4 linked regions of the Arabidopsis thaliana genome follow. The protein of the gene in region 2 interacts with the protein of the main gene of each other region in a pairwise test. Each region holds a gene or a part of one and is shown on either strand. Other genes may lie near its edges.

Region 1 (6,866 bases), on a different chromosome or scaffold from region 2:
AAGACTAAACTGCCTTTGTTACAAGAAGTAAGGTTACAACCATAGAATAACCTCTTGTAGCATTCCAGCTCCAACTAGTTTCTATGATACCTACAAACTAAGTTCTAATCAAAGAAGTTTGCAGTTTCTAAAAAGTTACAATCAGAATTTCTCTAATCTGCCATCAGATCCCAACAACCAGCTATTCTACTAAACCAAGTTCCACTAAAACTTCAACTACAGAGTTTACACGATTAAGCAAAACTCAAAGTTAGAACCATCAATACAATTAGAGCAATGACACAGATGTCCTCATACATAAGTCAAACCTGGAAATTTTAGCCTTACCAGGAAGCAAATCATTGTTGAATCCATATAATATTGCAATAGGAAGAATCCACATAAACATTGATGCAATAAGGAACTTCTGCATAACCCCAGCCATGGTTCTGCATCCAAATTGTTAAACCACGAATCAACGAAGATGCAAGATGTGGAAAACAGAATACACGAATCTATATATAGGGTTTTCAACAGAATAACCTAAATAACACAAATTAGGCGACAAAAGTAAAACTTTACATTGAATCTGGCGAGTTAACTCGGTCTTGGACTCAATGTCTCTCGCAATTTGCGAAGTCGAGATTTTTTCTTTTCTCTACAGAGTTTCCCTTGTCAATCAAAATCACAAGGAAGCCATTATTAAACCAGAAAGATATACTAAAACCACATTTCAATCCGGCATAAGCCGGTATATTTATTCGGTTCAAGTTCGAAGAAACTACGTGCCGTTTTCTAACCAGAGCATACCGACTACACGTTGTTTTCCACTACCTGGCAGAGTAAATGAACGTGTTCTCTTGTTTGACTTTGGGAAACAAATAAAATGAGTTTCTTTCTCTTCAAGCTAATGTCGATTTGTTTGCAGACTTTTTTTTATCCTGCGTTTTAAATATTTTTCAAGAAAATAGGGAAGGCAATAATAAGCAATGGAGAAGAAGAGGGCAAGATCTTATGTCACCTTTTCAGTATTTGCCTCTTGTGACTAAGTCTTCATCTTTAGTTTGGCCACCTTATGTTGAAGAAGAGCTTCAAACAATGTCTAAGGGGCCGAGTGAGTCAATGGTTAACTCAGGGGAGGCTCGTTAGGTTGCATATCATGAATATGCGGAAATCCCTCTAGCTCCTTGAATGCATCTGATCTTGCACATTATGTGGTACAAGGGTATGTTCTTTTCTTTGACAAGGTAACAATTATTTTTTCCTTTGGTCTACTTTCTTCGTTGTTTGTGTTATCTGATTCATTTTTTCTTAAAGTGGATATTTGGCATGAAGCATAAAGTACTCCCAAACAATTGTTTTGTTTGATGCGGAAAGTTTCTAGAGAAGAGTCTGCTAACTTTTTTGGTGAGGTGATTCCTGGACTGGATTGTGTGAATTTCTTCTCCAATTACCATCCATGTTAGGAATGCACTATCATACGGCAGACCATGTCTTGATGGAGTTATGTCCGGGGAAACCAACACTCAAACTAGTTTCTATGTTTTACGCTAGGATTATTTAGTATGAAAAACTTGCATGCCACGACAATAGAGCAAGAGTCTACAATAAACAGAGATTAGTCACATAGCACAACTGTTTTGGTTGGAATCTCTAGTTACAACCGGAGATGGATGTCCAGCTCTGTGACGGAGACCAGTGAGCCTCCTCCTATTTGCCTCTTGCACAACTTCGCCATGAACATATTGAGCTACGGAAAAAGCTAGTTGAGTATTCTTCAGAGAGCTCAGCAGAGGAACATGGCTTGGCTTCTTATCGTGGCTCATAGGTACGTCACTGCAGTCTACCTAGAGGACCAATTGGGTCAAAGTTATATATTATTTCTGAATTGATTATGTGAGATATATTCATGTCACTGTCTGTTTACTACATTCTTTCGTTATATATATAATTGGTGTGTTCCGACTTCCGATCTTACGAGTTTATATGACTTTCGTTATGTCATTGACTGGTTTGTTCCGATCTTACAAGTGGGAAAGAAAACTTGCCAAAAACAAATATCATCCGTTCAAACAAAAAGGAACTATATAAGGGATGAAAATCAGCACAATCTAAAACAAACTCGTAATGTTAACACTAACACTCAGTATATTGAGCTAAAAGACCCAAAAAAAACACCTAGATAAAAAGGACAAAAATCCAAAAAAGCCATCTTCGAATATAGTTTGAGATGATCAAGAACACAAAGATTTAAGAATAACTCTCTTTATTAGTTTAAGAAATTTACTCAAAACTTAAACTCTCAACTCATAAGTTATACCACATGTTGGTATCTCCTTATATAGAGATCTCTTAAACAATCCTAATCCTAATCCTAATAGAACTAATATTTAGATAACTCATAAATATTGTTTAGATATCTCCTAAAGTTTCTAGTCCTAATCTCTCTAGGATTTAATGACTTAATTGTCAAGTCATATTCAAACTTTAACTCAACATCGAGTGTCTGAAAAAAAAATACTTGCATGGCAAACCTCGGCAGTAGAGCTAGAAGAGCTGTTTTTTGCTGCTGGAAACTCTTAACTACAACCGGAGCTCGAGGTCCAGCTCTGTGTCCGAGACGAGTGAGCTCATCCTATTTGCCTCTTGTAAAGCCTCGAGACAAGTCGTCTCCTCGCACAATTTAGCCAATAAATTTAGGCACTCAGTCGGAGCTGGATCTGGATCTGAAAGAACGAAGGCGAAAAAGAGCATGTCTGGGGAGTGGAAGGACCAGATCCGAAGCCTAGTGCCTCTCTGTAGAATGTTATCGGTGACGACCTTGTTCCATCCTAAACCTAAGACGTAGTTGGAAGTGGAAGTCATATCCCATCTCTTGAGCTTAAGCTTCCTCTGTAGACCCTTAGAATTCACCACGATCACATCCGCTCCTTTGTCACTGGCACTAATCTTTTTGTGATGTCTATCTATTTTTTCTAACTCTTCCTCGTTTAAGAAGTCCATATCTAGTATCTGCTTCCAGGGCATCATAAGACGTGTCTGAAGTTCGTCGACATCACTATTGGGAAGAACCTTCACAAATATCAGCTTTGCATCCATACCGTTCACTTCTCTCATCACGTCAATCAGCCATTCCGTCGGTGTCCTATCTTCATCTGTCACTATAACCGGCTTTCTGTTTCTTACCGGTTTGTTTGAAACCACTTTTTGAGGCCTCTTGGACTCTAGATGGCACGAACTTGGAGAAGAAGCAACACGATTAGGGTTTTGTTCCGGGTCTTGATTCTTGCACTCATCAATCTTCAGTCGTTTGCTCAAGCTGGAATTCATAGTTGTGCTCAGACTGTAATTAATTAATCTTCTCAGTCTTCTCAGTCTCTCCCTCCTTTTATCACCTTCAGTGGATGTTTCTCCTATTTCCTCATATGCAAAAGCGCTAACCGTTCTCTCCGTCGCTACACATAAAATATCTAACGCTCTCTTCCCTCCCTGCAAACCATTAAGTTGATCATCTCCTCTCACCATTGTTATAAAAAATAGAGAGACAAGAAGAAAGAGTTAAGCGGCAGAGAGGAGTTTATAGTCTTGCTTTTATATGATTCTGATTGTCAATTCCTTTCACAAACGAACAAAGGTATATATAACTCTCTATTATTTTTTATTTTTTTTTGTTAGTGATAATCTCTATATATTTTTATATTAGTTTTAGATATTCACTAAATTACTTGCTTCTATTCTATTGGTTAGTCTCTTTTGTTCGGTTCAATCTTTAAATTCATGTATTTATCCTCAATTTTTTTTTATAGAGTTTTAAAGTTTTCGCTAGGGAAGATGAAGAACAAGCAAATACAGTTATTCCAAAACAGTGGCAAATTTTAAAACTTAATATAAGAAAAAGGAAAACAAATTTGTAGATCATATTAAGACAAAAGAAAAGGTCTTTTCAAACAATATGGCTAGTCAAGTTCTGGAATCCAAGGTTTTTCACGAGAGCTTTTAGTTGGTTATGTTAAATGCTGTCTTCATTCTCTGCACAATATGTGGTAATGTATTGAGATTTTCCTCAATGGATTTGTGCACACAACTCTCCATCTCGTTAACCGCTTCAGGCCTTATCTTCTGGAGCTTTGAGGCCTCAAACTTGTCTTGACACACCACCAGTGATCTGTTCAATCTTTCCTATACATTCATTCAACAAAAATCAGTCTTTATACACAGCAAACTATGTATCATCTTTTAGCAGATATCTTTACCTGAAATTGAGCCATTTCGTTCTCGAAATACTGTTGAGATTTGACAACGGGAACACTGCAGTGCTCGACGCAGTTACTTATCTCCTCTTGCTTTCTTCTTCTATCAAAGCACTCATATGCACATTTGAAATAAGCTTGCTGCAACAATGATATCGTTGTCAGGGTTTAATTAATTTGAATCAACGGATCATATAACTCAATATAGCAACCCAAAAACACAAGAGAAGGTGTTAATAACTCTCATGCTTCTGAAGACAAAGCAGAGCAATTGTTATGCAACGAGACACGCCTACTTATCGAATATCCTACAGAGCACAATATAGTAATTAAACCAGAGCAATTGTCGTGAACCTAATCCATAGTGTCTAAAGACGAATATAGTACGAACCCAAATGCAAATTTTCAGACTTTTTTCATGAACCTACTCAATTCATCAAATTTGAAACTAGCATTGTATCAAACCAATAAAGATTCCATATTCAGAAGCTAACATTGCTAAATTGTTATATCAGAGAGAATTTATGCTGAGCTCGCGAAAAGTACAGATTTTTGTATATACCTGAAGGGTGAAATTGATGTGATCTTGGATAGGAGAAAGCTGAGTCTGAGCAGCTACATTAACTTCTTCAAGCTTTCTTCGAAGTCTCTCCGATACGATTTGCTCTTCCGCCGCAGCGATGTGATCCATTGTCGCCTTCTCTGTTTAGCGTAATTTTGATTTTAGGGCTTTAGGGTTTTAGCTAGCTGCTCTCTTCAATAGAAGATCCTTCAATAGCCGCAAACAAAACGGGTTTGACAATTTTGGGTCGGGTTAAGTTTCCCGGGTTTCTCTAAACCGGTTAACTCTTTTTCACCAATTCAAACTTTATTAAACAGGAAGCTAATTCCGGTCATTGACCGGTCCGTTAAACTTCGCATTAGAATCAATTGTTACAAGAAGCCACCACAGAGTTGGGATTAAGCAGTAAAAAATAACAGAAACAGCCATCACCGACTTCAAGGTCTCTCCATCAATACATGATCAGACCAAAGCTTTGGCTAATTTTCATTAGTCTTGAGACAGAGAATTTAGCAGCAGCTCATTGAAAGGGCGAATTAGAAGACGAGAGATTAAAAGCATGAGAAGATGTTGGAGTCTTCACAGGAGCCCAAATATCAGCACCATTGGTTTGAGCAACTTCTGATGTATACTCCAATGGAACAAGACATAGCCCTTTACTTCTTAAGCTGTACTCTTCCACTTCCTCCTAGTTACAGAGATGGAAAATATCAGTCTTGCATTGTGATCCAAGTAAACGAGATCCAGATCATAGATTCAGCTCACCTCTGTAGTAGAAGGGGTTGCTTGCAGATAAGGAGCACTTAGAACCTGAACAGAGAAAATCAAGCATAATCATCATTGGATTGGAGGAGGTGAATGAATGAAAAGTATTTGATTAGAAAACTTGAGCAGACCTTGACTTGTTCTTGAAGAAACTGAATGTATTGCATTCCCTCTAGAAGAACTGATGCAGTGTCGGTCTGCATAGATAGAGACTTGAACATGGCTAGAGAAGACAAAGAGCGTGTAAGAAAGATTATTTCGGACCAAGTAGTACCTTTCCGTAAGGGGAAACTAGTTGTTGAAGAGCTGAAATACGTTCTGCTAATTTGTCTTTCCTCTCCTGTTTAAACCACAGAACAACAAAGTTTCAAGATCATTAGCATGCTGGTACAGAAATGTCCGGTAGCTTCATAGCCACAATGAATTTTGATTTTGATGTATCACAAGACCTTGGAAGAGAAAGAGAGATCAGATGACTTGTGTCGTTTAATTTTGTTATCTTCAAGCGAGTAGACATTGCGCTTAGTCTCCATCATCATCTCTGCCGAGTCTCTAGAGTATTCCATTCCTTGTCATCAAACAAAACAAAAATGATCGGTTTTTCGACATAAGAAACCGGTTTACTTGCTACCATTTATAAAGATAATCTCATGGCTTCATCCAAGGCAAGTTGCAGAAAAAAACATAAGATTACAACTCAACAACTTGCTTTTGCAAGCGTCATAAGGACAAAACTATACGCCTTGAGATATTCTCAGACCAGACAAACAAAGTGGTGTCTTGGTTTTAACATCAAAATTAGATGTTAACTACTACAAATTAAGGGATGCAAATCTAGGTTTGGACCAACTAATGCATTGGAAGATACGACTTTTGGATTAGAAAACAAGAGCAATGGTCAAAGAAAGTAGATAATGGTCAGAGGTTATCCATATAAGATCACATCAGCTTAAAGTATTATTTAAAGTTTAGTAGCACAATCATAGATGTTTAAATATGATATCATACTTTGCTTCCATACATAGACAATACATTGTAGGATGCATGAAACTACGGAATTAACTCATTAATTTAGTTCATCTAATGAGCAGAACTAGTTAATCATTATACGTGTTTTTATTTTGGATCGAGTTAGCTCCATTAGACAAGATTCAAAGCTAAGCAAACTTCAATAGAAAAACCCCACAAGAAGATGAGAACAAAAAATACCAAAAGATTCATGATTTTATTTTGCCTTAAAATACTCTAAGTTAAGTCAAAAAGACCAAAAATGGGGAACAAAACAGAGTAAATGAAGAAAAAAGAACTTA
Region 2 (8,081 bases):
TTACCAGAAGTATTCCTAATTCTGGTTAGTGTTGATAACTTACACTCAATTATATTCCGATATTTTTCTCAACATGTTCATATTGGAGGTTGCCGAGACTTGGGCTTCTTTGGGCCTAATAATTAACCTGGACCAAGTTGCGCTAGTCAATGACATTACATATTTTATTGTCATTGCTTATGCCCATCGATATACTATTCTTTTGTTTTGGTTCAAAAGCCCATCGATGTACAGTGCACTCGATTTCCATGCCTCGTTGTTCAGATAAAAAATCATGCACGTAGATGTTTAATACTCGATTTGTTTTATGGAAATCTTTTTGTTTGAGATTATCCTTTTCACAAACGTTCTGGTAACCCAAGAAGAAGCTCGTATTGAAAATTGATCCATCGTCTTGATTTAGTCTAAACAAACTATTCGCCGATAGTTGCAAATCCTCGGTTCACAACAGACGACGTTTGTTGAAGAACCACACCAAAGTACAAATCATTCACTGTACTCCAAACTAATTTATATATATACACACATTAGGTACGTATATAACGTTACTTTCAAAATAAAGCTATAAATATCCTACGAGTCTATGACGTATATTAAGTTTCGTCGTGATTCAAAGAATTAGTTTCTTGGAAGATAGAAAACCACGGACCATAAATAGCCTTAGCAAATATGGACCCAGCGGAAACAAACAATATAGGAGGATTGATACAACCAAAAATAGACCTCAGGGTTTCGTTTATATTGCCTGTCCCCATGCTGAAAACTATCTTTGCCTACCTTTTGTAGTCTACCAATGTATGAATGAAGAAGCCTGATTTTTATAACGAAATATAATATCTGTTACAGTACATTTTTGTATTTCAAATGTAAGAAAGTAACAGAAAATACAAGAATGTTAGCAACAACGTCTAATGTAGAGCAATACGTAATTATTGATTCCACGAACCAGAGCTGAGAGCCTTAATATTAGTGCCTTAATTAATATTACTTATCCGTTCTAATTATTTACTTTTACGTTGTGCATTGTTGATTAGTCTCCTTTCTTGCATCTAATTAGTATCTTATTGAATCAAATTTGAACCATACATTTACTTTGGCACAATTGAATATAATATTTAAATGTACTGTGGAAATTTCGGCTTTCATCGCAATTCGTAGATAATAGAGGGTTTAGGAGCAGAAAAAGACAGAAGGGTACTGGTTCGGTTCCGACATAATCTGATAGTCAAGAGGAGATTTATATCATAAAAATACTATTTTATAGTAAACGCATGAAACTGTAGGAAACAAAACAATCTCCTAATGTGTAATAATGTGTCCGTACGTGAAACTGCAAGCTAGTCCAAATTTTATTATCTTTTCTTAATTGTCAGAAATCCTAGATTTTAATGTTTTGCTAACACCATTTTCGTAACTCTATGTGATCATTAAGAACAAGTACTATATTCCACATTAAGTAAAGTTACAGAAATAAACAAAATATCACGATTTCGATAGCGACAACAAAACTATAGAAATAGTTAAATACATCACCAAAATCCTTATCCCGTCGTGTCGCTAGCGTTCCCATTAATATTATATTGATTACTTAACGTCTTGGGAGACTGAACAAGATAACTCCACACAAGGTCTCACGTGGTCCCCTCACACTCTCTCAACACACGTGTCGTACACTTAATGGGTTTCTTCGACACGTGTCGTAGTCGGAGTGACGAGGATGCACAACTAGCTGAAAAGTCCGACCTATTGAAAAGTCTATAATGCCCCCATTCGGTCGCTGCCTAAGCCGGTAGGGGCCGGTCTAAGATTACGTGGCAGAGCCACGGTCCTTGGTCGCAATACTCTCTCTTGTATACATGTATTGTTGTTGGCAAGGACTAAAATAGCAAAGGTTTTATCCAAAAGTATAAGATTAGAAATAATGCGATTTCTTGTTTCCTTTACTTCATTTCTGTTCAAAGATTTAGACAGAAATGCAACAAATATATGTTGTGGTGGCCTTCACAACTTACAAGTGAGACTCCGATATTATTTTGAGATATTGTTTCTATTTTTTTCGGTAACTACTAACTTAGGACAAGCACACATTCACAGTCGTTTATCATAAATTCTTTGTGTAACTACTTATTCTAGAAAACCAAACTACAGTGAAAAAACTATATATACTGAAAATATGTGATTACCGCCTTATATAAATTATTTTTGATGTTAACATTTTCGTAAAATAAAATTTGTAGTGATCCTAAACAAGATAATTTGAAATTCTAGTTTTCGACTCCGAGAAATTATGAACCAAGCTCGGAACTTTTTTGGTAAAAGTAAAAAGTTGTGATGCTTTAAGTGTGAAAACCTAGTGAAAAGAAGAAAACGTAAATTTGTGGGATACCTAAAAAGCTACAGAAAACGATTTTTGTGTTTACGAAATGGCATAATTAAAACATTATTATAACTAATGAAATTTTATAAGCAATAACAGTTTGCCAATTATTCGATTCCGTGGATTAGTAGAGAGTTTAAAATATGATGTTGAATAATTTTGAGCGATCAGAAAAAGGAATGAACACCCGTCTCTTAACGGTGAGAGAGAATCGCAGCCTTTCGGATTCCACACGGCTCTTATTTTCCTCTATCCACTTGCTCACTTTTTAAACCGCATAATAATATTCTTTAGCGTATACTATTATAATATTCTTCTTGATTACGTCAAACTACAACAAATCAATCAATAGTATTGAAAAATATGTCTCAGTGTCACTCTTACGACTTTTATACAAACCATGTAACCATGACGACATGACTTCAGTTACACATTACCATATAAAACAGTTCATGAAAGGATTAGACTACACTAACATTTGTTTTAGATGAATGTCACAAAATGGTGATATAGACTAAATATAGTAGTCACTAGTCATTAGACAACGCATAAACTTTATAATATATCATTCACCTTGATATTATTATTGTATGAACAAAAATTTAATGTACACATTACATTACAACACAAGACAAAGCCATGCCTTTTAAACAAACTAAACATCAAACACTTCCACTATAAAACCTAATTCTTCTATACTTATAAAAAATGTATTTATGTATGTGTTCTAATTATTTCACCTTTATCTTTTAGAAAAACTATAAAAAGAAATAATACACATTTACAACATTATGACTACATCCTAAATTTCACCCCAAGTTATACATTGTATTATACCATTATCTATATATATATATATATAATTAATTACTATGGGGTTGGAAATTTAGTAATTATCTTTTCTTAGAACGGAGCACGGTGAGGGACACCCTTTCGTCTGCTTGAATTCCGGTGATTATAGATCGGAGGTGTTCCCGGAGAGAAACTAAAACCACCTTCATCACCAGAGCTTGAAGACCTTTGATCACCATTGGGACCGTAGTCATCGAATCTAACGGTTGAGATCGAGAGACCACTCATCAGACGGTTGAAAGCATTGGTCTTACGCATCTTAGTCGGTGTAGTAGCTTCATCTGATTCCGACCCACCAAGGTACTCTCTCCCATGCTTTCCTTTCAAAGAGAAGGTTAGAGATAAATCTCCTCTCCTCATTCCTCCAAGCTAAACAGAACAAAAAACAACCAAAGGACAATATCGTTATTTCCACAAATAACATTACAAAAACAGAGCATATCCACATGAATCACGAACAAAACTAAACAAAACCGGATAAAATTTGATATAGATATCATTAAGAAGTGAAATGCGTTAATGGGTTTTAAGAAAGTTTACATTTTTGTTAAAACCATATGAATTGTTTCAAACAAAAATGGTGAAAACAGGGGAAAAAACAGAGGGAGAGTCTTTTTGTGTTATACCTTGCAGCCGAGAGAGCAGAACCTGAAAGAATCAAGGAGACTTCTGCAACAGATTTCACAAGTGTTTGTAACACCTTTACCGATTCTAGGCTGAGGTCTTTCATTGAGGAACACGATCTTTGCGCTGTTGATAATATATGTCTGAACACAAGCGATGTCTATGAACTTCTGTATCTCATTCACTCTCACAACGTTATGGTACGAAGATCTTCGTATCTGCAAATTTTGATTCTTTTCATTAACATTACAATTAAAAAACCGAGAGATTGAGGAGGAGAAAAAGAAGAAGAAGAGATATTGAACCTGAACAACACGATGGTCTTTATGTTTGACTAAACAGTAAGAGCAAAAGGCATTTCCAGCACAATCAAGACAGAACAAATTGCATTCGTTTTTGTTTGAATCGACATGGATGGAACAAGGGACGAAGTAACTCCCTCGTAGCATTGGCATTAGCCACGGTGGACTTGTATAGTCTTCTTCTTCCTCTGTTCTTATCATTGGTCCCTGAACAAAACGAAACCAAATCAGAATCTGGAGAAGATTGATAGCAAGGTAAAAACAAACAAAAAGAATTAAAAATAAGACTCACCATGACTTTCTTGTGATTGGCCTTGAAGGCCCCGAAGTTGAGTTTGTGATTGTGGTTTTCGATAGCCAGATTTGCGAGCTCCAGTGTGTAGCAAAACCTTTACGAGAAGAAGGTAGAAGAAGAAGAAGGAAGAGGAAGAGGTAAGTGAAAGCGGCGGCTGAAAGAGAGAAAATAAAGGGTTTTATTTTTATTTGAAGGCGGTCACGATAAGTTTATGCGGTTTATATTTCATACGAATTTCATTTTAAAATATTTTTAGAGTTATTTTTGTTTATTATTAAAGGTATCTTTTTTGTTTGTTCCTAAATTATATTTTTCTGACTCCTTTATTTGGGAAAATCAATTTGTTTTCTTCTTTATGTAATTTGGGAAAATCATTATCTCGTTTTTTTTTTTTGAAGTCCTCCAAAAACACACGTATCTTGAATATGCGTGTCTGTCCAGTGTGCATCTAGAAGACCTAAAAGGAAAGTCTTAAAAGGTTAAAAATAAAAGGTGAAAATGCGATATTATTGTTCAAATATGGTCATAAATAATTACGTTTCGACATAGAAAAAAATAGCATACTAATTTTTCAGCTTACGAATGATATAATGATTGATATATTTTCATATCATCATATGTATAATAAGCGGACAAACACATATGTGGATGTCAAATCTAGTTAAGCATTGAGAGTGATACAACAAGAATAAAGGAACTCCCACACTTGAATTTGTAAAAGTCAAATATGAAAATAAAAATTAATTATGGTCAGAATTAGAGAGACAAATAGTATTATCCTAATTCTTTGTTTTTCGTAAAATTTAAATCCGAAAATTGAAGAGATAAGCAAAAAAGAGAGAAGAGGTGGCGATAGCTGAAAAGCCAAGACAGATCGACGGGTATGAGAAGAGACAGAAGCGAGACTAGTCTTGTTAAATCGTGAGCCGTTGGATGATGAGAAGAGCCTTCTCGTATTATCCTTTTTCGTGGGACGTGTCGGAAGCTTTTACGGTTTTACCCCCTCCTCCGATTGACACTTCACACTCGTGGAGAACTCTGAGCCGTCAAGATGATAGTTAGAGTGGGACTCACTTTGAGTCATAGGTCAACGTTCAGCTGCCACGTTACTTAACGTGATCCAAGAAACAATAAATGGAGTTCGTTTGTAGTTCAAAGTTAAAAACAAATTATTAAACTTTTAGAAGTAGAGAGACTAGAGTTGTTTTTGTAAATTTGTGTGTGTGTGTGTGTATCGTTTTTAACCTGATAGATTCTCTGGTAAAAAGTCAAATCCTGTAGTCTTAGAGAATCTCCTTTGTACTTGGACGTTGTTAAAGCAAAAAAAGTAAGCAATTCGAAATGTACGAGTGTGTCATGTACTGAACAAATAAAACATTTTAAAAAATTCAAAATGTTGATTACGAGTGTGTCATGTACTGAACTAATAAACATTTTCCAAATACGGTGAGATTTGATATTGAATATTGTGAATATTAAACAACTAATAGAGTGTAAAACATAGATATTAGCTTTTGATGTCGAAAGCAATTAAAGATACTAATTAAGGAGATAGACATGTAAAAAGAGAAGTGTGATCCACGTCATGAAAAAATTATGTGACCACTAATAGTTAACAATGTAATTGGAAATCCGACCAAAGAAAGTGAGCATAGAACGGCGATGAGGAAAGTGGAAGAAACATCTTTTTAATTTGTATTCTTATCTCTTTCAAATTGGCAAAAAAGAAGCAAAAGAGAAGAGGCGTTTAAACAGTAGAACGCACGTGCCTCACGTGACCTTTGTGCACCGTTTGACCACGTGAGTCGTCAGAAAAACGAGGGTTGTCTTAGTAGAAGCCAAACATGCAAGTTTTAAGAACTAAATCATGCATGAAGTCGGAAAATGAAAATCTACCCGATATCTAAACCACTTCTTATAGAATTGGTCCTATAAAAATGGACGGTAACCTAAAAATCAAATTTGAATGGTAGCTAAACTAGTTAAATCTATAAACATGCTTTGGACGAGTCGGATCATCAGTTGAGACTTGCGAGGTTAAAACTACATTCTCTCTATTTATTGGTATACAATCCGAAAAATGTTTTGAGTTTTTGTCTATAGTTTTTTAAGATAAAAACTAAAACACATTATGTTTTTCTTTCCGTTTCATTTTCTAAGTTTGGGAATGCGGACAAATGGAACCGAACCTTACCGGATTATCATTGGGTACGATTAGGTGTGGCGGGTCCACTACAGTCTACTTTTTTAATCATCACCCAAATGTTATATATTTTTTAACGAAGATTAATGAGCAATTTGGATGACCAACAAAAAGTGCAATTTGCAGCACGATGGAAAGGATTTGAACCCTTTTTTTTTTTTTAATTCTTTTTAATCAATTTGGGTGCTTCACTCTCTTTTGCAACTTGCTTCTGGTGGCAAAGAAGAGCCAATGGAAAAACATGTTTGGCCCTTAATTAATTACACGCTTCCAAAACAAAAGAAGTCCTTAAACTTAGAAAATTACAATATTGATTACTTTGTGGTTTGATTTAGATTAGAGCTGAACGTCGTGATGATACTTAGATTAGATACGCATATATAACTCGGCGATTCACTTTTTACAATGAACTATTTTATAAAAATCTAGGATGCAGATGAATTAATATATTCAATAAAATCTTATCAATTCTTAATAACAAAAAGATTAAATATTTGCTTACTCTTAATTGACTTTAAAAAAAGGGTAACAAAATTATGTTTAAGCTATCTCTCATGATTTTATTTGTTTTGACAACACAAAAACAACACACAAATAATATGGAGATAGAAAGATATTAACTCACAAATATAAAACTATTAAGAAAGTCAGGAAAAGATATCGAGTTTTTCATGCATTAAACAATTTCACTAACAAACACGTTTATATATATGGTACAATAGAAACAAGAAAAACTCTAGGTTTTGTTAAAAGAAATAAGTTCGAGTAATTAACCCTAATAGTATAACCCAAGTGTAACGAACTTTAAATTTGAAGTAACAATTTTTTTTTTTGTTTGTAGAATTATCCACAAGCATACATACGAATAGTAAACCACGCATAGCCATTAGAGTAGTGATATGGTCGACTAACCCTCCGAAATGGTGAGGAGTTGTATGGAAGTTACTTATCAATTCGAAATTGTCATCCGAAAATTTAAAAGGACTCTTCGTATAAGGGTAAAGACAAGGAGCAAAAAAGTAAAGACAAGAAGGTGAATGAATGATATAATCTCAGAGAAATGAATAAACTATGAATACGCATGAAGATACGATCGACATCATTCATCGGAGTTAGGTCCTCGATTTCGGGAAGGAGCTTTTCAAAGGAACCAAACCAAGTATACGGACAAAGATTACGCTATAAAAGTATTTAGCCGACAAGAGTCACTATCCTACGTGTCTCTTTAACAGTACTAGGATCAATCCAGGTTCATCGATCCCTATTTTACATATAACGAACGTAAAATAATTCGTATTTACGAAACTGCCATCTTCGTCTAATGAGTTTATTACTTTATTTGATCCGTATGGGCTAATACGAGCTAGCTACATCCGTCTGGGTCATGTATTGTGTAATGACATATTATGGGCTTTACAAACCAAATTA
Region 3 (8,116 bases), about 20 Mb from region 2:
ATGAAAACTCGGCAACAAGTGTGTCATTCGCAAGGTTCTTGTATTAAAACTGCGTTTACTCTTGTGAGACATGAAGGTTTAAGGGGATTGTACAGAGGATTTGGAACTTCTTTGATGGGAACTATCCCTGCTCGTGCTTTGTACATGACTGCCTTGGAGGTTACTAAGAGTAACGTAGGCTCTGCTGCTGTCAGCTTGGGGTTGACAGAGGCTAAAGCTGCTGCTGTTGCTAATGCGGTTGGAGGTTTGAGTGCTGCGATGGCTGCACAGCTTGTTTGGACTCCTGTTGATGTGGTTAGCCAAAGGCTTATGGTTCAAGGAAGTGCTGGTCTTGTTAATGCATCAAGGTGTAATTATGTTAACGGGTTTGATGCATTTAGAAAGATCGTTCGCGCTGATGGACCGAAGGGGTTATACAGAGGGTTTGGGATATCGATTCTGACTTATGCGCCGTCTAATGCTGTTTGGTGGGCGTCTTACTCTGTTGCACAGCGGATGGTTTGGGGTGGAATTGGGTGTTATGTCTGTAAGAAAGACGAAGAAAGCGGGAACAATAGTACCACGATGAAACCAGATTCTAAAACGATAATGGCTGTTCAAGGAGTTAGTGCTGCGATTGCTGGAAGTGTTTCTGCTTTGATTACAATGCCACTCGACACAATCAAGACGAGATTGCAGGTTCTTGATGGGGAAGATAGTAGTAACAACGGGAAGCGTGGACCGAGTATTGGACAGACTGTAAGAAACTTGGTTAGAGAAGGTGGATGGACGGCTTGTTATAGAGGATTGGGACCAAGATGTGCTTCAATGTCAATGTCTGCAACAACTATGATCACTACCTACGAGTTCTTGAAACGGCTTTCTGCTAAGAACCATGACGGGTTTTATTCTAAATCATAGTGATAACAACTGGGAATCCACATAGAAGAATCTTTTATGGAAATGTCTCTAGTTTTCTTACTTATCTTGTTCTTTATCTAGCTCTTCTGCTATTTCATTTGTTTCCAGTCATATGTAAGGAATGTGTTAAATTCAGTTGTTTTTAAATAAATAAATGTTCTTTCCACATTGGCTTGAATTCAGTTTCCAGGTATCGGTTCACCATAACCGTGCTACTAAACCGACATGATATGTTGCAATGTTAAAAGATGACTTGTAAGACTTTATTTGGCAATTGCAGTCTTACATCAATAAGCACACACGACAAGCTTTGATTTGGCAACATGTTATATTTAGAAGTAATTCATGAATCACTTGCGAAAGTGATATGTACAGGATTGTGACTTTATATATTTCACAATGCTGTCTTTTTCTTTACAGAAGTTAAATTATGATCATTTGTTAGTATTTGAGGGACACAAGTGTGTGTGTATCTGTCCCATAAGTCAACGTGTTTTGGAGCAGTATTTTACGTTTCTTCTTACCTTATCAAAATATTATATCTTAAATAGGAAATAATGCATAGAGACTGCCTTGATATTTTGAAAAAAATATTCATGAACGTGTGGAAGAAATGGTAGTATTTTCAAGTGTATGACATCTTCTCAGACAGATAAAATGAGACTCAAAGTAGAATCTTTCAACCTTTTTTACTTTATTTATAAGAAGTGTATCAAGAATAAGACATAATCTAATATATACTGGATTCTTCATTAAATGTTTTCTTAAACATTGTCAACTAAATTGTAAAATACTTCAAGAATCCGAATGTGTCTCTTCACAGAAATCAATGGAGTGGAACCAGAATCTGTATTTTTCTTCGCCATTTTCAAACAGAATAAGGAGACTTCTTCATTGCCGACACAAATGAAGCAAAAACAAACATATATAAATCCTGAAAAAAACAAAAGAGGAATTGAAAGTTTATCAGAAGAATCATATCACTAGTTTAGACAAGAGATCCATGGTAACAGAAGATGAAAAGGTAATAGAGTGTTTCAAAGTGAAGATCTTGGTCGTTCTTGTGATGTCTAACACAGACATAATATGAAATAAAAACACTGAAGTTACAACAAGCGAAAGAACTAGTAGTAGCCAAGGATGACTTCCCCTTCTTGGTGGGAACATGAACACAGCACCAAGATCCACTGTCTCAGATATGGACAGAGAAATGGTGCATGTCTCCACCTCCATGCATGTCATTAGACTGACCATGAACAAGCATGGCTCGGTTTATCGGAGTTGGGAAACCTGAAAACTGGAATTCAGTGTGTCCAAAGATATCAGCACCGTCGGAAACAGAGGTGATGTCTGAGCCAGAAGTGGTTGAGCTGCGGTCTTTGTTGTTCTGCAGCATATGAGCTTCGAATCTAGACATGTTGGTCTTTCTGTTTACCTGTTGGCCTAACTTGTCCTGTTCTTGTTCTCTAGCAGCAGCCTGTTCGGATTCTTGAAGAAGTTTTTTGGTGTTTAGGAATCTTCCACCAGATCCTCTTGGCCTTTTAAGAGCATGAACATGTCGAGACTCATGAAGATAGGGCTGTTGCAATAAGAAAAAGAAAAGATGAGCAAAGCAATTCTACGTGTATGCGTTTGTTTAAAATATAAACCAAAATTTGGTAACTACCTTACGGGCTCTGATTAGTTTGTTTTGAGCCTCAAGCTTAGCACGTTGCTGTCTCCTCCTCATAATTGCGTGGTATTGCTTCGCATTGACAAAGACTGGATCAGTTTCTGTGAGCTCTGCTGGTAAAGGAACACGACCAGGAATCATACTCACCATTTGAGGATTGCATGTCTGCAAAAGAGATTAAGAGACTTGAGATCTGATGGACAGATAAAACTGAAAGGTAAATCTCCCACTTGGAAACGAAGGGTGTACTTACTGGTGCCTGTGGTAGGTAAGTTGCAGCTAATAAACCACCATAATGTGGATCAGCATAGTGAAATGAGAAATTAGCCTGAACCATGTATAAACATAAGATATCAGTCTACAATCAAAAGCTTTGCTATGATTACTGTATTCATAGAGTTACAAATACCTGTGCAGGAGCAAAGTGAATATTCGGAAATCCAGTCATCGAGCCTTGTTTAGGATTACTTGCAAACCCCTTCCGTTGAGTTATTTCAGATCCTAGAGAAACAACTGAGAAAGTAAGAAAGAGGATAACATTCTTTATGGCAAAAGGATGATTCTTTTGTCAATGACACAAGAAGTAAAACATATATATACCAACAATCTAACCTGATTTAGCCGAAAAGGAGATTTGTCTGGAAGGATTATCATCACCACTACTAGCAACTTCAGTATAAGATTGACCAGTGGACTGTGTTGAAGATGAATCTTGGTCCTGAAAACTGATTTGCTTTGTAGTTTGTATATGCCCAGGTCTTGAATCAACCTTCAAGCTTAGTGATTCAGCAGAACCGCGACGATTAGCAACGGAATCAGTTGGAACCACTCCCCAAGAGATGCTAGTATTAAGGTATGGCAAAGTGGAATGAGTAGCTGAATCTTTCTTATTCAACATCTGATGCATCATAACGTCTTCCTTAACAAGCTAATTATTCTCACAACCAACAACCTAAATAACAATCAAAAATGACTCAAAGATTAGATTTTTAAAGCTAATAATCCAAGTGGGTGAAAAAACCCAGAATAGAAAGAAACAGAAGTTGGAAGTTTCTAAATTTGAGTAATTTTTTAATTCTCTAAACGAACTGATTCGATCGTACTATCTTGGGTAACCAAAACACGATTGCAGAGATCGCTACGATTGGCTAAAATTAGTAATTTTCCGACCAAGAAAAATTTCTTGTTCCCGTCATCACTTTTGGGCAAAAAGTCGTTGACTTGAAGATGAATTATTTTAGCAAGAATTTTTCAGAATCAGTAAACATCAATCGCACGCCACAAGACAGATACACCAATAATCGAACAAAGAAAAAAGGAGAAAAATTTGACAGAAATTAAACATCTTTTTTTCGAACAAAGAGACTACAGATGCAGAAAGAAATAGATAAGAGATAGAGAAAGAAACCTCTTTGAGTAATCGATGAAGCGAAGAAGAAAAACAAGGGATAGAGATTTATTTTTGCATGTCTCCTTTTGTCAAACAGAACCAAAGTAAACCAGTTTGTCTCTCAGAGTGAATCAGAGAGTGATCTTCGTATGTAAGATCTTCTTCTTTCTTCCTTGTTTTGGTTCGTCTCCGTCTCTTTTACCTTTCCTGGGAAACCAACATCGCCATGAGAACCACCACTACACCAGCTTCTCCTTCTGGGTTAATTATTGTCTTAAGTGCTCTTAATTATTCATTTTAAATATCTTAATTTATTTGGTCTCACTTTAACCCAAAACACAGAATAAGGCTCTCTGGCTAACCCTACCTTATAGAATCAATTTACCCCCAAATAACGATTAGAGCAGACTCTTTTTTTGAAAATCTTTATTAATACGAAATCGTCCAACTATATTAGATTCCTAAATTCCCTGACACAGTTTTTAAATTTTATAATTTGGAGGAAAAACACAACAAAAATGATTAACAATTAAAAGCCAACAAATAATGTAATTCTGGAAAGGTAAACGTACAATTCAAGATTTTTTTTTCTCTAAAATTAATGATTCCTATCTCTACAAAGCCGTTAAGAACTTTACCTTTATTTGTTTTTGCTCATTTAGCAGTAATGTATTATGAGCCATGTATTATATATACTAGTATAAGGTTTGTTTTATATTAACTTTTCCCCCATCTTTTGTTACGAATATAATAACTACGGTTTGTTTTGGCTGTATGATTTCTTAATTTCCATTATCTCTAATAATGATTCCAAAAAAGTAATTAGCTATCTTGGCCACGTTAGCTTTTGTTTGATTATATTTTTAATTTGTATGAAGCTTTTAAAATGTTATTTAGCTTTTTGTCCAAAGTGTATTGTCGTTTCCAGACTAAAAACATTTCTGAACTCTGAACAGTCCTTAATTTCCCCCTTATGCCTTTACTCGTTAGTCTTTAGCCGCCCCTCCCCATATTGATGTCACACGCTCTCCTAAGCTCGTGATTCACACGCTCTCCTAAGCTCGTGATTCACACGCTCTTACAATTTTATCATGGGAATAAATAACACGAACAGTTTTAATTTACAAGTTATAGACCTGCAACCAGTTTCCTTGAGTATAATAGTTTAATGAAAGTGTAAGCATGTAAAATGAGATGGGAAAAAGGATTGTATAATACTAAAACTTAGGTTGGGTTCTTAATCAAGTACCTAACCTTTTTTGCAATGAAATAAAGCTCTAGTGCAAGTCAAGCATAGGAATCCCTCCTTTATCCTTGGAAGTAACAAGTAACAACCAAAACATAATAATTGTTACTTGATGTTTTCTTAATTAGTTTTTAGCATTCCTTTATTCCCTCTGTTTAATGTTTATGGGCTTTTAAGCCCTTGATTGATCCATAAGAATTAGGACACGTGGGCACTGGATATTGGGTACTCATCAGTCCGTCATCATCCCATATGCACCAAAATCAAAAGTTATTCACCTTTCTTTGGACCAAAATCAAAGGAGATTCAATGTATTAGTAGTTGTTTTGCAATGATATTTAATGTAACATTTCCAGTGAGAACACAACTCCTGTGGGTTTGGCAGCTCCAACTTTTCTTTCTCCATTTCTAGCCTGATGAAATACCAGAATACAATCTGGTAAAGCTTGTTGAGCAAAAAGGGCAGACATCGAGTACAAAGCAGAAAGAAAAAATTGGTTCTCTTAAAAGGAAAAAAATAAAATCAAGTCACAATTAAACCGAAAAATACCAAACCGATTATAAAAGCAAACCGACACGAGGTTACATGGGTAGTAATTTATTTAGTTCCAAAACGAAAATTGGTACAAATCCTTGTGTTTAGAAATCTGCAGATCCATCATCATCTTAAGAATTGATCTCCGCACCAGCTACTTTAAAACGAACCCAACGTGTTCAACTCCACACAAAATTATCTCGTCGCCCGGCTCCGGAACTTGGATATGGGATTCGAATTGCACCTCATCAATTTCTGCGCTGATGATGCCAGTTGGGATTTGGACAATGACCAGGTGATGCCATTTATATGGTCTATTATTGTTGTCCTCCATCATCTCTGATGATTGATAGAGATTTGGTTTGAGGTTAATCCGATATAACCTGCTACCTTCACAGTCCCAATTATAAGAAAACGCTGGAAACTGTAGATGGAAGGGCTTTTCGCAAACAACCATGATTTGGACAAAGAATCCCACAAGCTTGGGGGCAGCTTTAATCTTAGGTAGTTTGATCCTCATAGGTTCCCTCCATGAGGTTCGCATATTGTTGGTAGAAGCAATTGAGTATTTCGTTATACAAACAAGTCGAAATGGAGCCTACGTGCAAAATGAGAATCAATCAAGTCACAACTTAAAAATATAGCTTATGAGGGGGTTAAAGGGAACAGATTATAGAGAAGAGAGCCTTACCTCTTGAGAATATTCCTCGTTCATAAAGTCACGAACCAGATCGCTAATACATTCTAGACTGATGCAATGGCTAAAGTCCAAGTGGTTGAAAGAATGATTCGAAGAGAAGTTAACATGCTCCAGAGATTCGCACCCATGTGCATAGAGATACTTGAGGCTCTCTGGAAGATCTGTCAGTGAAAAGATTTTGTTGCAGTTGTTGAGGTAGAGAGTTCTCATAAAGGATAACTCTCTGATGCTTGTTGGGATTCTCCTAAACTCGAGGCTGCTGAGATCTAGATATGTTAACTTGGTGAAATGACTAAGCTCCTCTGATAATGACACAAGACTCTTACAGTTTTCAAGGCTAAGCTCAAGCAACTCGTTTCTGCCTGGAGCTGATTTTTCCACACTAAGAATTCCCATCAATGATCCAAGACTCTTGCATTTTTCAACGCAAAAATCAAGCAAATTGTATCTGCCTGCACCAAGAATTCCCATCAATGATCCGAGCTTCACACAGCCAGAAAGTACGAGTCTCTCCACCTGAGAAAGTTGTGGCAGTGCCTTAAGTCTGCGACAGTTACTGAGGCTGAGGTACTTTAACATGGCAAGTTGTCCCATGGATGTGGGTAGATACACGAAATCATTTCCACCGAGGTCCAGTGTCTCTAGGAGCTGCAACTGACATATGTCTTCAGGGATGTCTTCAATGTTTAAGTTTATCAGCTTTAGCTCGGTCAGACATGGAAAGTCTGCAAAGCTAAGACAGCTGAAATTAACAGGATCCAACCTGTAACTGAACCGCTTGATGTCGAGTGATTTCAAACCAAAGAAACCAGAGTTAAGTAGATGTGTTACTGATTGATGAGCGGTCTTCTGCACAGAACTAAAAGACAGATGGTCTCCCGTACCCGAGAGACCCGACAACTTAATGAATATTTTCCCCTGGATAGCTAGATCTGTCAGAGAACTCAGTGTCGCCCCTGAATGAGGAAGGTTCAGTATAATCCGTTTGAGGCCCCAGCGGCTGAGGCTGGCTTCTTGAAGGTCATTGACGAGTATCACTCCCTCAAGACCATCACAGTACATCATATTTAGTTTCCTCAGATATAATCTATTAATAGACTCTGGGATTTGCACCAGGCTCGTACAGCTTTCCAATATCAACTCTTCAAGATTTACTGCGGTCGAAAGTTCTGGAAGTTCTCTGAGATTCCTCGATCCTGTTACATCTAGTATCCGTAGGTTTGGAAGCAGCTGAAAACAATACAGCAAAACACAGAATTACAGGAAAGATAGGTAACAATATGACGACCTTATCAGAAAGAGTAAAACGAATATGTAATTTGAATGAGCATACCTTGGTTCCATCCCAGAGGCTGTTGAGTTTGCTGTATCGCAGACTGAGTTCAATAATGGTGTGTGGTCGAAAGATAGGTGGCAATATAGTCAATGGATAGGCATCCCAGTGTAGTAACTTCAGATTACGAGAAAGAACATAATCATCTGAAATTAGCTGCAGGTTCGACACATTACCACCCAAGTGCTGGAAGAACTTGAGAAATGTGAGATTATGCATAGGGCCAAAAACACTATTCCTCAATAATAAAGTGTCAGCCATTTCACACAAGTGCAGTGACAGGCCTTCAACTCTTCGAGTACCCTGTTGATAAAAGCGTCAACAACTGAAGAAAGGCATG
Region 4 (7,336 bases), on a different chromosome or scaffold from region 2:
TTTGTCAAGTTATGAGTTTTTCCATCTAAAAGTATTAACTTTTCTGTTGGGTTGATGTTACTTCCCTAATTGATGATTTTGTTTCTGACATCACAGTCATATCCAAATCCATTGAAAGAAAGCCAAGCATATGCCATTGTTAAGTAAGTTCAAATTTCTACATGGCAAAGTCACTAAACTCATAAATACCTTTGAGGGTTGTAATGTATTGTTCATATGGTTTCTGTAGGCGAACTTTTGTCAGTTCCGAAGATGTGGTTGCGCAAAATGTAAGCTTGATGTGTTTTTTTCTAAGCTTTTTTTTTTCGATTTGCGGGTGTTTACTTGCTCTCAAAGCTCCCTCATTTTTAGATTGTAGTCCAGAAGGGAAGTAAGCGAGGAGTACACTTTAGGCGAGCAGGGCCTCGAGAAAGAGTATGATTTCTTCTTTAAAGTGTTAAACTTTTGTGAGATTTTTCGCAACTGAAACCTGTTAAGTTTTTGGTTATACAGGTGTACTTCAGATCAGATGAAGTAAAAGCTTGCATAGTGACTTGTGGGGGCTTGTGCCCTGGAATCAATACTGTTATACGGGAAATTGTATGTGGATTGAACAATATGTATGGTGTTAATAACATTCTCGGCATTCAGGGAGGATATAGAGGCTTTTACTCCAAAAACACTATGAACCTGACACCTAAAGTAGTTAACGATATTCATAAACGCGGTGGCACTTTTCTTCAAACCTCAAGAGGAGGACATGATACAGCGAAGATTGTTGATAATATTCAAGATAGAGGAATAAATCAGGTAGCTAACATAACTGATTTCCATTTTGTCCATAATTTTTATGTAGTTTAGTTTGTATTGAAGCTGAGCCATCCTAATATTTTGTCAATGTGTATGTCAGGTATATATTATTGGAGGTGGTGGGACGCAAAAGGGTGCAGAGAAGATATACGAGGTTATTTCATATCACATATTACTGAATGCTGAATGTAGCATTAGTAATTCTACTGATACTTGCTTCATATTTTGTGAAGGAAGTTGAGAGGCGTGGTCTTCAAGTGGCGGTTTCTGGCATTCCTAAGACAATTGATAATGATATTGCTGTAAATACCCATTGATAATTTTCAACTTAAGGTCTACTTTTCTCTCATGTGGAGTTTCTTATACATCTTCTTCATCCATTGTTCTAGGTGATTGACAAATCATTTGGCTTTGATACGGCGGTTGAGGAAGCACAACGAGCTATTAATGCTGCACATGTAGAGGTCGAGAGCGTGGAAAATGGAGTTGGTATCGTTAAACTCATGGGCAGATACAGTGGTAAATATTCTGTGACATATGTTGATTACTTTCTTTTGTGAATACGAAGTTAACTTGTGGTACAAATTCTGCAGGTTTTATTGCCATGATTGCAACTTTAGCGAATCGTGATGTGGTAATAGATTAGTTTGATTGTTAAATTGTCACTATAAACTTTCTTTATTTGTGGTGTATAACAATGGGAGCTTTGAAATGTGACAGGATTGTTGCTTGATTCCAGAGTCTCCATTTTTTCTTGAAGGAAAGGGTGGGCTCTTTGAGTTTATTGAAGAACGACTCAAAGAGAATAGGCACATGGTTATTGTGATAGCTGAAGGAGCTGGACAGGATTATGTTGCTCAAAGCATGCGTGCATCTGAAACTAAAGACGCCTCAGGAAATAGACTCTTGCTTGATGTTGGTCTATGGTTGACTCAACAGATAAAGGTATTGGTCGAAACTCGAAAGTTAAGAAAATGGTTTCTATATGTTTTCCCTCAAACATTCAAGATGAATCTTGTGACCACTATGTTGCAGGATCACTTTACAAATGTTCGGAAAATGATGATAAATATGAAGTACATAGGTATATCTTCAGACTCACTGTCTCTATCTTGTTAACAACAGTTAACACTCTTCTGTGCATTTCATTGACATGTACTTGTTGAACAGACCCAACGTATATGATAAGAGCAATACCGAGTAACGCATCAGACAATGTCTATTGCACTCTTCTTGCCCAAAGTGCAGTTCATGGAGCAATGGCTGGGTACTCAGGTTTCACTGTAGGACCAGTTAACAGTAGACATGCTTACATCCCAATTTCTGTAAGCTTTTCTCTTTTACTTCTCTAATCATTCTTAGACTAAAATCATTGAGTCCTAAACCTTTGTGGTTAAAGTTAATCCCATGATTTTTTACTTCTGCAGCAGGTGACGGAAGTGACAAATACGGTGAAGTTAACTGATAGGATGTGGGCTAGACTCCTTGCATCGACAAATCAACCGAGTTTCTTGACTGGTGAAGGAGCATTGCAGAATGTGATCGACATGGAAACTCAAGAAAAGATCGATAACATGAAGATCTCTTCTATCTAAGAAACAGGTCAGTTGATATTCATCAACTGTTCCAAATGTATACTAGATATATATGCATAGGAGATATCTTTATCAAAAAACCATGAAGTAATTTCATTGTTATAACTTATAAGAATTCTTTGGTTTTAGTTATTCCTAATAATAATAATCAACATCCATCTCAACGATGAGGTTGAGATGTTAATACATATCTTCCTCTGTTTACTTTTCCATATTGCAACTTGTGCATCTCTCCCCTCTTGAGCTGTTGCGTGTGGTCCATCCAATTCTTTGTCATATTTAAAAAATGAATGCTGACTTGTACCCAACCATGAGACAAAACTCTGGCTGCTATATTCTTTAAACTTGGTCCCTCTTGCAACTTGTTCATCTTTCTACTCAATTCACTGATTCACGCTTTCTGGACATGTGAACTAATTAATACCTCAGTGATATCGAATAGTGAATACTGAAGCCACTGTACGGTACTGTTTGTGTCATTGGAGAAACTTTAAGGCTTATGTTAAGGTCTTTCAGGTAGAAATTCGATTTTAAGTATCACAGTAGATTAATAAATAAATGTAGTCGATAGATTTAGGTCCTCTTGTCTTCCCAAATAGTGTACTCTGAATAAACCGAAAGGACAAGAACTTTGTTTCTAGAACCTTAAGCTCTTTAAGACAAGAGAAAACGCAGAAGTTCCATTGTTACAGGAACTCTTTAGTACATATTTTGCAAGAGTTCTTTTCAGTACACTAGTCTAACAGGTTCTTGGCTCTATACATGATGCTTCACATACTTAAGATATTAACCTATATATACTAATTAAACATCACTATTCCCCCATTAGTTTGATGACGATGATGAAGTACTTGTTGTTGTTCCTTGAGGCTGTGGTACATCGGTTCTCCTCCTTTTTCGGCATGAATTGACCGGAGCATCATACTTTCCGGCATCCAAAGGAAAGTTGAGAACAGCTTTTCTTCCCCTGAGCTTAAAAGCTGCATAGTCGTAAGCCCTTGCAGCATCAATATCACTCTCAAAAGTGCCTAACCAAATCCTGGATCCTTTCTTTGCCGGATCTCGAATCTCTGCTGCAAATTTCCCCCATGGCCTCCTTCTCACGCCTCTGTAATGTCTCGTTTCTTCAAACCTCTTTGTTTTTTTCCGGTTTGAGACAGTCTCAACCTCAGGTGACGTTGTTGTTGATGATGATGATGATGATTCTGCTTCCATTTGCAGAATCTCTTGGACATAGGAATCTGGATCAAGAACAGGTGAACTAGGTTCCAGTTTCGGAACTGGGTTAAAGGGTTCTAGAGACCAGAGTCCGGAGACAAAAGCAGTATCATCAAAGACAAAATCTTCAATGAAACCATCAGGGATCATCAAGTCTTCAAATAGATGTTTCTGTATAACATCCAAATCAGAGCTTTCCTCAAAAGTCTCCATTTCTTCCTCTCTCTTTTTTCTTTAGACAAGACAGGAGAATAAGAAAAACTGCAAGTGGTGTTTGAAGAAAAAGTTTTGATGATATTGTTGGCTATATAAAGAAAGGAATCCTAAACATGTGTTAACGCAGCCATGGGTGAGGTGTCAAAAGTCTCTCTCTGTGTCTCTCTGGTTTAACTCTGTGGGGCCAAGTCTTATCCATTAAACATTTATGGAGGCAACTTAAGATATTTTGTCAGGACCCTTCAAGTTGTGCCAACTTGATCTTGTCTATGATGCTGACAAATTTCACTAACATCCATTTTATTCCTCTAGAGTTTAAAATACCTTGAGCTACCCATGGTTCGAATCCTAAGCTGAATGCTAACAAAATGGTGATTATTTTTTTTAACTAGAATTTTGATTGAGTTGGTTAAGGACGTAGGTTCATTTGAAATTTTAAATCTAAAACATAACACAAACCAAAACCAAAAAGACTTGAACTACTAGTGTTTATAATCGTAACTTAAGTCTTTAAAAGCCAATCTCTCAAAAGTTTTTTCTTTTTTTTTTTTATCTTAAAAGTTTTATGATAAGATTGATATATGATTTTCGTAGTAGTAATGACTCACTAGGTAAGCTCTTAAATATCAAAAGATATTTTGCATATTCACATTCGAGTAAAAAGATAAGAAGATAATGACTTTCACTCGAATAAAAAGGAGAGACAAATTCATCAAATTGCTTGTCTTGTAGGGTTGTCTTGCTAGGATATGATTTGAAGCAACTTGATATTTCTTTGTTTCTACATAACTTCGTATAGGGCTCCACATATATAATAACCAAACCTTACCCTCTTGCTCAGTTGCTTGACAATTATACTCCTAATCTCATAATCTTTTATAATAGCATGTAAGATAATATTAATTATTTACTTTTATTGATGCTTTGTAGATAATCTTCGACAGCATTATCCATTTGATTGGTGTTTTCCACTATTGAAATTTTGAATTTGTTTAGATTTGTATGTATTTTTAACTAATTAATTGTCTTTTCGTTGCACACTATTTTTTTATAGCTCCGATTTACTTTTTCCTGATCCAATTTTATAATCTATTGACTATTTAGCAGATATGAAGTGTTTAGATATGGACTTAACGAAACTGATGACTAAGAATGTTTATACAATCAATAAATTTATAACATCAACAAATACAAAATTAAATTTATATTTTCAACATCCAAATATTCTACTAAAAAAAATAATGAATAAAATGATTGGTACTAATTAAACTACTTATTTGATATTTGCACACTACCGCTACCTTTATATTATACAAGAATAAATGAAATCATGAGAGTGACGCAAGTGAAAACGTCATCGTACGTTGACTTTTCCGAAGTTTTAAGTGACGGAGATAACGGAAAAGTTGGGAGACGTCGGAGATAACGGAGGAATACTGAAAATACCATCTCCTGCTCCCACATCCCAAAACCCCATCCAACTTGACGGCGTCAATGGTACCACCGGCTCAACCTCAGCCTCCGTCGTCTCCGACGTATTACTCTCTTCTTCCTCCACTTTAACCCTAGCCGCCTTCTCCTCTTCCGGCGGAGAACCCTTATCTCGCTTTCGTTTCCCTAATCCGATAACTCCTTCCCCAGAACAAGTTTCTGACGTAACCCTAACATCGAGAGGGAAATTCAAGATTGCTTTTCTTCCACGTAATTGAAACGCCGCTTGGTCATAAGCTCTTCCAGCTTCCACGGCAGTGTCGTAAGTCCCAAGCCAGATCCTACAACCCTTTTTGTTCGGATCCCTAATCTCCGCCGCGTATTTTCCCCACGGTCTTCGTCTCACTCCCCTGTAGTGCCTCTCTTCTTCCTCTTTCTCTGTCTTTGTTGAAACCGTTCTCGAGACGGATAGATTCGGTAAGGGCGGTTTACGCTGGTTAAGAGTCGAATTCGGTTTAGGGGATTGGTTGGTGATGGTTCTAGGGCCTGTTTCTGAGTGAAAGTTGTGAAGTTGGTTGGTAAAAAGAGATGGGTGATCAGTTTCCATGGAAACAAAGTCTGTGAGAAGGTGTTGGCTTATGAAATCGATGGCTAAAGCTTCTTGTTTAGTTGCCATCTTCACTCTACTTGATTGACTCTCTTGCTCTGTTGTATATGTGTATGTGTGGAAGTGGGAATAAGAGTGACGAGGAATCGGACTTTCTTATATAGTGGTAAAAAAACAAAGAGAGGGTTCGAGCCTTCGAGGGAGTTTCGAGGATCGGACCGAGAAAGATCATACTACCTTTTCTTGGACTTGTTACTTATTTTCTCTCTTTAGATTTCGTCCTTTTTCTTTATTTTGTCTTTTTGTCTTATTCCTCTACGTGGACATCTATCATTTAAAAGTGCTTATCAAGTTATCATGTGATTCTTCTTTTAGAATTTTTAAAAATGCAATATGGATTATTTTTAGTATAAGTGGAGTTTGATTGAGATGTATTAAAAATTTAAGGAGTTTAAAGAATTCGGAAAACCTATCAAAACTTTGTTGTAGTAGTTATGCCAATTCCAAAAGGCAAAGGACTTGGAATATTCAATCAAACACACCTTCATACATTTGCCAAAATTCTAACCATTGATCCTATATTTCTATTTCACATCTTCATCTCGACAACTCAAAGTTAATATAGTTTCTAAGTTTTTTAGTTTCGGTCCAAAACCGATCACATGCAAACAATTTCAGGAAATATCTTTAATACTGTTTTAGAATTATTTCAAAAATAGGGAAAAATTTTATTTAATGATCCAACTTTTGAAAATATATGATATTTTTATATATCAATTTCACATGTGTTAATTTTTTAACATGAACAATATGTTGATTAACTGTTTGAAACATGAGAATGTGTTGATTAGACTAAAAAACCAAAGAGTTATCAAGCGATAACAGATTTTTAACACTCGTTGGCACCTGTTAACGACTTCGTTAGTCAGCCCAAAACGACATCATTTAAGCTTTGATCGAATTAAAATTAGGACTTTTCCCAAATTCAAAAAATCAATCCCAAATTTTCCTAATTCATGCTTTTGACGAAACCCTAATTATCTCCCACAATCTTGAATTCGTTTTCACGAATACCTTCAGTTAGAAAGAAAAGCATCACATGGAATATTGGATTACCAATGCAAGACGAATTCGTAGACATGCAAATTGCAATGGTAACACAATTACCATAAACATAAAAAAAAATAAAAAAAAATATGTTAAATTACGATAAGCATAATCGTAATTGTTTCCTTTCCATAAACTTATATTTATTCATATATCAAGAGAAATTTAAACGTAATTAGTAAATTGTAGATATGGGTTCTTCAAGTTTCTTAAGCCATTGAAGGAGATTCGCGCTTGCAGACAGACGTACAGCCTCGTTTATCAAGAAAACAGGTCCTCGGTAGTCCGGCACAGCAAAAACACCATTTTTGATTTCTGTGTTTTGCACATTCGACACGCAGACACATTGATGGATCTAATTGCAGCTCCGCCT

Evidence for each region.
Region 1: the proteins of AT1G21000 (region 2) and AT2G31720 interact in a two-hybrid assay, tested with the Arabidopsis thaliana proteins (one large-scale study listed by BioGRID).
Region 3: the proteins of AT1G21000 (region 2) and NF-YA3 interact in a two-hybrid assay, tested with the Arabidopsis thaliana proteins (one large-scale study listed by BioGRID).
Region 4: the proteins of AT1G21000 (region 2) and AT5G61590 interact in a two-hybrid assay, tested with the Arabidopsis thaliana proteins (one large-scale study listed by BioGRID).

Annotation. Positions count from the first base shown.
Region 1 is NC_003071.7:13,482,472-13,489,337, forward strand, and holds AT2G31720 (B3 domain protein (DUF313)), read right to left. Parts: upstream 3,505-6,866; coding exon 2,563-3,504; downstream 1-2,562. Other genes in the region: AT2G31710 (Vacuolar ATPase assembly integral membrane protein VMA21-like domain-containing protein), read right to left, coding at 328-424; AT2G31725 (FAM136A-like protein (DUF842)), read right to left, coding at 3,976-4,158, 4,233-4,370, 4,792-4,920; AT2G31730 (basic helix-loop-helix (bHLH) DNA-binding superfamily protein), read right to left, coding at 5,312-5,479, 5,557-5,601, 5,688-5,753, 5,831-5,896, 6,006-6,122.
Region 2 is NC_003070.9:7,334,288-7,342,368, reverse strand, and holds AT1G21000 (PLATZ transcription factor family protein), read right to left. Parts: upstream 4,765-8,081; 5' UTR 4,451-4,764; coding exon 4,448-4,450; exon of another isoform or gene 4,444-4,447; intron 4,363-4,443; coding exon 4,159-4,362; intron 4,072-4,158; coding exon 3,856-4,071; intron 3,599-3,855; coding exon 3,281-3,598; 3' UTR 2,917-3,280; downstream 1-2,916.
Region 3 is NC_003070.9:27,403,607-27,411,722, forward strand, and holds NF-YA3 (nuclear factor Y, subunit A3), read right to left. Parts: upstream 3,935-8,116; 5' UTR 3,676-3,934; intron 3,525-3,675; 5' UTR 3,483-3,524; coding exon 3,185-3,482; intron 3,074-3,184; coding exon 2,982-3,073; intron 2,901-2,981; coding exon 2,826-2,900; intron 2,738-2,825; coding exon 2,564-2,737; intron 2,480-2,563; coding exon 2,093-2,479; 3' UTR 1,855-2,092; downstream 1-1,854. Other genes in the region: AT1G72820 (Mitochondrial substrate carrier family protein), read left to right, coding at 1-900; AT1G72840 (Disease resistance protein (TIR-NBS-LRR class)), read right to left, coding at 5,898-6,341, 6,435-7,673, 7,777-8,079. UniProt on the Arabidopsis thaliana protein: Stimulates the transcription of various genes by recognizing and binding to a CCAAT motif in promoters.
Region 4 is NC_003076.8:24,761,444-24,768,779, forward strand, and holds AT5G61590 (Integrase-type DNA-binding superfamily protein), read right to left. Parts: upstream 4,069-7,336; 5' UTR 3,816-4,068; coding exon 3,210-3,815; 3' UTR 2,813-3,209; downstream 1-2,812. Other genes in the region: PFK4 (phosphofructokinase 4), read left to right, coding at 97-143, 230-269, 352-414, 493-789, 890-943, 1,023-1,091, 1,179-1,308, 1,383-1,423 and 4 more; ERF104 (ethylene response factor 104), read right to left, coding at 5,200-5,925; AT5G61605 (EMBRYO SURROUNDING FACTOR-like protein), read right to left, coding at 7,173-7,336.